Xenopus tropicalis: one gene and its partner. Each later gene encodes a partner of the first gene's protein in a complex. Links are inferred from orthologs where the notes say so. Each region holds a gene or a part of one and is shown on either strand. Other genes may lie near its edges.

The links.
Region 2: satb1 (region 1) and hoxb2 share a complex: the UniProt entries of both Homo sapiens proteins name them as parts of the nuclear protein complex. The link is inferred for Xenopus tropicalis from reciprocal best matches to the Homo sapiens genes SATB1 and HOXB2.

What each region holds. Positions count from the first base shown.
Region 1 is NC_030682.2:45,052,965-45,056,798, forward strand, and holds part of satb1 (DNA-binding protein SATB1), read right to left. Parts: intron 3,575-3,834; coding exon 3,120-3,574; intron 1-3,119. UniProt on the Homo sapiens protein: Crucial silencing factor contributing to the initiation of X inactivation mediated by Xist RNA that occurs during embryogenesis and in lymphoma.
Region 2 is NC_030686.2:12,017,062-12,021,476, reverse strand, and holds the start of hoxb2 (homeobox protein Hox-B2), read left to right. Parts: upstream 1-1,527; 5' UTR 1,528-1,711; intron 1,712-2,110; 5' UTR 2,111-2,298; coding exon 2,299-2,662; intron 2,663-4,163; coding exon 4,164-4,415. UniProt on the Homo sapiens protein: Sequence-specific transcription factor which is part of a developmental regulatory system that provides cells with specific positional identities on the anterior-posterior axis.

The DNA of each region.
Region 1 (3,834 bases):
CAAACACTTAGGGATATAGTATAAAACTGTGTATAAGGTTTTATGTCAAAAACCTTGTAAAATTTGGCGCAATGGGCACACCACTACTGGAATAATGAATAATACATTACAAAGAACTAATCTTGCCAGTTTTAAAAAGGTGTGCATATTTCTCAGTCAGACTATCGCCAAAATTATGCCATGTTTTTAAACCACCTTAGACCTGGGACAACCCATTGAAATTAATAGGACTAACTAAAAAGGTTGTGTAAAAGATGTCATCTTTATAAATACGCCCCTTACTATTGAATGCTCTAATTAAATATTTATGTGCAAAATGACAGAGACACCTATTTTTAGCAGGAGAGGTGCACCTTCCCATCTGTAATGCTTTAATCCCCTATTTTTTAACTTAAAGTAGCCAATAATAGATCTATTTCTGTGCCTTTCCACATTTAATTTAAATAAATACCACTGTACTTATCATATTACAATAAGTCATTCTTAAAATAGGACCAAATACGTTCTCATGCTGTTTATGGTGCGTTTCAATGATCTCCTTTAATAGTGTACTTTCTTCCTATAAAACTAATTTTAATGAGGTGCATAATGAATTATAAACCAGTTGTTGGGTCGTGAAGCGGATTCCCAGCCTTAATCAGGGTCCCCAGAGAAAAAGATTGAGGATCTGCTATAGAAGAATCCTTTGCCAGTTTGCCAGGAAATAATCGCAGTACAGTATTAGCTCATCACTTTCACAGGTTTGCAAGGAAAGCCCAAACCACTGGCCCGTAATAGATATATAACCATCAAATTGATCTGGAAGCTGTCTGCCCCGAAGCAGCAAATGACTTGCTGCTGTCTAAATGCAAAAGACCATATTTTGTTCCTTGTACAAACAAATGAATATTATTGTTACACAGATCATGACAGCAGAAGGCCTCTAACTTGAAAGTCCAATATTACTCTAACCATACACAAGTTTACCTTAACACTTATTGTCTATGTGTAGTCCTGGTGTTAGCTTAGATTCTGTACCCTCAAATTTATACTTTACTAATTTATAAGTATCCCATCACCCAAGGATACTTCACATATGCACATAAAAGGATTTGATCCATCCTTTTGGCCCTCATGCTGTCCTGTAGGATGTAAGGCAAAAAGAAGGGAGAAACATTGCAAATAAACCACTTGTTCACAATGGCCCTTTTTAGAGTGAGTAACTTGGTATGCAAATTTTTAAAACATAGACATTACTGTAACAGAAATGAAAACATGTGACTTTCGAAAACCTTATTACGCGTGTAAACTACAGTTCGACAGGTTGCACGTGGGAATTCTCATAGTAAACACCAATGACTTCCAGTCACTTAACATTCTCTACAGTTAGCACATTGTGTTTTGATGAAGGACATGGATAACCGAGGTTGTTTACAGCATAGTATATCAGTTATGTAGCCAACACTATTCAAGAATTATATAAAACATAATATTATTGGAAGTCATGAAATGATTGCCGTTTCTTTAAACATGTTGCTGGACTGCAACTTCCAGCATACACCAGCATCATACTTCAACATATAATCTGCATTGTTTTTTCCACACATCATGAAGGCATAGTTTGATGAAATTTTCAGTTTGAACACACACACAGCACAGTCAAAAGTTCACCACAAGGTGCTATATACACAGTTAGGCAGGAAGTTTAAAACAGCCAAACTGCCTGACCAAATGCAGGCAAGTATGGCTACATCTAGGCAAGTTTGATGACTGCATGTTGTCAGTCCAGTTGCTAGGTGTCTAAATACATGGCATCAATACTACAATAGATATAAAAAATAATCCTGCTACAGCAATGGAGCCCGGTAGATTTTGAACTGGTGACCAGAAAACTTCAAAATCACTGTCCTGCTTACAAAGAATTCCATTATATCATAAAGTATTCAGATTAATAAATGTGACTCGATGGGTAGGTGCAATCCTTTTAATTATAACTCTAAGTACGGTTGTGTGTGTGTGTTGTAATTCTCCATGACAGCATTTTGCAGTGCAGCTGAGAAAGCAGTGTGTTGGGACAATTTTTGTAGAAGTAACCCTTTGGCTAATGCCAGATGAGGCGCAGGGCGGATAAACTCCGAAAATTCTGCCCTATGCCTCCTACTTGTGCCTGCACCAGAATGAATGGAATACACTCTGGTGCAGGCACATGTAGCCGGAATATGCAAAAAAAAAAAAAAAAAAAAAAAAAAAGAGACTTTCAAACTTTCAAACGAGACTTTCAAACTGTCGCGTTTTTATGCGTATTTTGGCTACATGTGCCTGCACCCAGGCGTATTCCATTAATTCGGGTGCAGACACATGTAGGAGGCGTAGGGCGGTGTTTTTGGCAACTTTTTTTCCGCTTGCCGAAAATATCCACCCTACGCCTCGTCTGGCATTAGCCTTACATGGATTATGCCTGAGCTGCTCTGGCCTACAAATTTCTAAATAACCAGGTTAATGCATGCTCTGGCTACACATACATAATGTCAAATGCATTGATAAAGCAGTTAAAGACGATAATCATGGAATAATAATTAGTATTTTGAGTTAATGGTATGGCTACTTAAATTCCTATGAACTTGGTTTAGAAAATGCACTTAATAGCAAGAAAGAACATTAATCTGCACATATATCACAGTTTGTTGTAAAGCTATTTAAGTTTGATTTTAGTGAAACAAAGAAAATAAGCTGTAGCTCAGCAATCAATGTTTGTGAAATGGCTTGAAAGTCTGGGGTTGATTTTGTTATTAATCTGCCTATTATGCTGGACATCCTAGTCAATATCTAATAATATATAATGAAAATCAAAATTTTTAAAAGGAAAACAACATTCCAAAAATACTATGAACTTGCTGCAAAACACAAATTACAACCAGAGCAGTTCTTTCGACTGCTTAGCCTCAGGGCTGGCAGGCCCCACCCAATTGCCCATGGTCTCCATTTTTTGTAAACCATCTACATTTGAATACATTTCAGCCTCTGCATGTGTGGACCAGTCTGAGAAAACAACTGCACAGTACTGCTTTAGATCATGCTATTTCCTAAACTGCCTATAAAAAATACATACGCTATCCTGTTACTATGTGGCTAATCATTACCTGAGTTCTGTTGAAAGCCACTCGTGCAAATACTGCTTGCGAGATTCCTGCTCGTTTTAATTCATCACGTACCCACTGGTAGATATCGGAAGACACTTCTGTGTTGGGCGAAACCTGTTGCTCTAAAGGCTTGTTGATTGATCTACTGACAGGAGGAGGATGGTTCAAGTACTGTTGGTTTAAGGACTGTTGTGCGAGTAGTCTGTTTACAGCATATTGCTGGTTCAGTAACTGAGCCATTACCAGCTGCTGATTTACTAACTGAGGGCTGATGGGAGTAGAAACAAGTCCTGGATGCAAATTGGGAAGTGGTGTCCTCGCAGGTGGTTGACTACTGTGAGAAATCTGAACCGGGGATGAAGGGTTTTCTGGAGTACCAACAGAACCAGGCTGCTGACCATAGTTTACATGATTGCTACTTTGTTGAGAGCGTTCTGATAATTCTTCAATATCCACTATAGAAGTAGAAAAAAAAAAGTTATGTTTTAATAAATACAAAAATTTTTTTAAAAAAAGAAGATTCCAATGAAATAAATAACTGTTTTTTATAGATATTAGCAATACAAAGTGCTGTGTTAATGTTAATTAATTTTCAATTATCTTAAAAGTACATTGAATAATTCCTGTTTAAAAAAGAAGGGGTACATGGAAAAACACAAAACTGATCCCAAAGCTACTGGGTAATTATTATCCAGCCAGACTACTGCAATGCTGC
Region 2 (4,415 bases), on another chromosome or scaffold:
GTGTAACATGTATAGACTGTACATGGGGAGGCACACAGGGGGGGTGATTCTATGGAACATACAGAGGTACCTGGCATTCAGCCCCTGCCTGAGCAAAGATGAAGCAAATCTAATCCCCATAATATTTATGGAAAGGGAAAGCATGTGTTTACACGGTATACAATAGCTTCCAGGCGGTACAAAGAGCTGGCAGCCATGTTCCTGGGAGCTACAAATGCAGAGCATTGCGGGGGCAGGGAGAGAAATCTGCCACAAAGGCTTCTATTGCTTTTAGTGATAGGAATGTATTATCCAAATGTATCACCGAAATGTATCAATATAAAGGCACCGCAATTTTATCTGAATAAGGTTCTTGTATTCTCCTGATAACCCACACTTACTACATATCTATCTATCATCTATTTATCTATCTATCTATCTATATCTATCCATATCTATCTATCATCTATTTATCTATCTATCTATCTATATCTATCCATATCTATCTATCATCTATTTATCTATCTATCTATATCTATCCATATCTATCTATCATCTATCTATCTATCTATCTACCTATCTATATCTATCCATATCTATATATCATCTATCTATCTATCTATCTATCTATATCTATCCATATTTATATATCATCTATCTATCTATGTATCTACCTATCTATATCTATCCATATCCATATATCATCTATCTATCTATCTATCTATCTATCTATCTATATCTATCCATATCTATATATCATCTATCTATCTATCTATCTATCTATCTATCTATCTACCTATCTATCTATCTACCTATCTATATCTATCCATATCTATATATCATCTATCTATCTATCTATCATCTATCTATCTATCTATCTATCTATCTATCTATCTATCTATCTATCTATCTATCATCATCTATTTATCTATCTATCTACCTATCTGTATCTATCCTTTTTCTAAACCCCTCTCTCTATTTATTTTTGCCAAGGAATACTATAGGAATACTATAAGGCTGCCCTATTAGAAATAGTCGGTGTGTGCCTTTATACGCCTGTTTACGCCTGTTTAATCCCCGAATGTTAAGCGTTCCTTACCTCGCCAATTTATCTGAACTTGCTCCAAACGATAAATAAGACATTATTTCTCCATGGGCCGTGGGGCAGGATTTCTCTAGCAGTTCTGGCTCCGGAGGGGACAATAACAAAGCCACCAAATGATGTTTCTTGTCTCAGATCTACAATGCAGAAAAGTTAGAGAATATGAAGAGATCCAACAAGGGGGATGTGTGGCACAAAGAGGCGCATCTCTAGGAGGTAAAGTCCATCTATTCCTTGGTTTGTCAGTACTCCAGCCCTACTAGAGCTTTGCACAATAGTCACTGATTTACACCCACCACCCACACACATTTTTTTCTTTAAATGAACACAAAGTTTCCCTGCCGCCATGAAGTGCTCGGGAGAGTCTCTCATTCCCAGTCCACATGCTGCAATGAGACTGAGCTCTTGCTTTTTTTTTTTTCCTCTCTCGTTTTGCTGCTGTAATATTTTTTTCTTTTGTGTGTGCTGAGATTTTCTCGGTTTCTTTCCCATGTCGGTTGCAATAATGGGTGAAATTCCTTTCTGACACTACCTTTCCACTTGTGAGATTGATCACTCTCCTTGTGCAGCCGGGTAGGGTTCCCAGAGATCCTCAGCGGCCTCTCCAGCAGGATTTATTCCTGAGAAGCAGTAAGTGTCCCTCACTTGTGCTGGAAAATAACCCGGGTCAGGGGCCACTCAGCCCTTCCTGAAATAACCCTGAATGCTACCCAGCTTGGCCCCTAGCAACGCCTGGCTACTGACAGATAACCTTCCGCATTTCCCTGTTTGCGCTAAACTCGCTGGCTATCAGATAACCATGTTTACACAGAAAAGGCTACATTCCATATTGCTAATGGAGAAATGTGCCATTTTCCAACCCTTCCCAAACAGGAATTAATCCCTGTGTTCTCTGCTTACAGTGGTTATACCCACATTTAGTTTTACCCGCATTAATCATCGAGCAGTTTGCATCACTCCCCCCCCCCCAAACACACTCACATACATTTATAGGATTTAATTCACAGTTATAATGCTTTCTATTTCCAGCAGGCCTACGCTCCCCATTGGTCAGCCCTGGTCATGTGACCAGGAATTGGCTGCAAGTCGCCCAGTGTTCAGTTTATTACAGGAGGGTCCCCATACGCCTGATTTATCAGCAATATACAATAATAGGGCCTGTGGATTACGGGGACCCTAAATTTGGCTCTCCCAGCCCGGCCTGGCTCAGGGCAGCCATGAATTTGGAATTTGAGAGGGAGATCGGGTTTATAAACAGCCAGCCTTCGCTCGCAGAGTGCCTGACGTCCTTCCCTGCTGTCCTGGAGACATTTCAAACTTCATCAATCAAGGACTCGACATTAATTCCTCCTCCTTTTGAGCAAACCATCCCCAGCCTGAATCCTGGCTCCGACAGCCAGATCCGGCCCAAAAGCCAAAAACGAGCAGAGAATGGCCTGCTCCAGCAGCCCCAGGTCCAGCCTGGCCATTTGGCTACCGAATTCCCCTGGATGAAAGAGAAGAAATCGGCAAAGAAGAGCAGCCAAGGGTCCCCCCAGGCCCTTATTCCCCCTCCTGAGTCTGCAGGGGGGTCTCCTGCAGGTCGGTATTCTAGGGGATTCATTGTATATAGCAAGTGGGATATATTGTACAGAGAAAGTGGATATATTGTATATAGCAAGTGGGATACATTCTATAGAGAAAGTGGATACATTGGATATAGAAAGTGGGAAATATTGTATATAGCAAATGGGATATATTGTATATAGCAAATGGGATATATTGTATATAGCAAGTGGGATATATTGTACAGAGAAAGTGGGATACATTGTATATAGCAAATGGGATATATTGTATATAGCAAATGGGATATATTGTATATAGCAAGTGGGATATATTGTACAGAGAAAGTGGATATATTGTATATAGCAAGTGGGATACATTCTATAGAGAAAGTGGATACATTCTATAGAGAAAGTGGGATACATTGTATATAGAAAGTGGGATACATTGTATAGAGAAAGTGGGATACATTGTATAGAGAAAGTGGGATACATTGTATAGAGAAAGTGGGATACATTGGATATAGAAAGTAAGGGGCACAGTGGGCCTATATTGTTACTATTTTGTAACGAATGTAACACACCAAGTGATATATCTAGAAATGATATCTTTACTGGGAACATTTTCTCCAATCATGGCATTGTATGTAACCATATCATCTTATTTATGGGCAACCCACACTCTTGGGGGGATCCTGTAAGTGGTAATGTATTTAACTGGAGTGGTAATTAGATTATAGATAGATAGATGCATAGATAGATAGATTGATAGATGATAGATAGATAGATAGATAGATAGATAGATGATAGATAGATAGATAGATAGATAGATAGATAGATAGATAGATAGATAGATGTTTGTTTGAGATTAATATAGGGTCAGAAAAACTAGATAGATGATGGGCAACCACACTCTTGGGGGGATCCTGTAAGTGGTAATGTATTTAACTGGAGTGGTAATTAGATTATAGATAGATAGATGCATAGATAGATAGATTGATAGATGATAGATAGATAGATAGATAGATAGACAGATAGATGATAGATAGATAGGTAGATAGATAGATGATAGATAGATGATAGATAGATAGATAGATAGATAGATAGATAGATAGATAGATAGATAGATAGATAGATAGATATGTTTGTTTGAGATTAATATAGGGTCAGAAAAACTAGATAGATGATGGGCAACCACACTCTTGGGGGGATCCTGTAAGTGGTAATGTATTTAACTGCAGTGGTAATGCATAGATAGATAAATAGATAGATGTATAGATAGATAGATAGATAGATAGATAGATAGATAGATAGATAGATGATATAGAAATGGCTGGGCCATAACAGTGACGATAGAAACCTGATCCATCTTTAGTTTGTAGCCAGCACAGTCTGAGGAATGTTAACTCTCCAGCTGCCAGAAGAAATCCACTGGCCACATGGCAGTAGTAGAGTTAACTCCCTAAGAGAGGTGCTCGGTGGGACAGATGGTGGGACAAATGGTGGGTTCTAGATAAAGGAACCCTGTTTTATCCCCACAGAACCCCCTGGGCTGCACGATGCCGGCGGCGGATCCAGAAGACTGCGCACCGCATACACCAACACCCAACTCCTGGAGCTGGAGAAAGAATTTCACTTTAATAAATACTTGTGCCGACCCAGGAGGGTGGAGATAGCGGCTCTGCTGGATCTGACTGAGAGACAGGTCAAGGTTTGGTTCCAGAACCGGAGGATGAAGCACAAGAGACAAACCCAGCACAAGGACTCGCAGGACGGGGAGCACAGTTACTCGA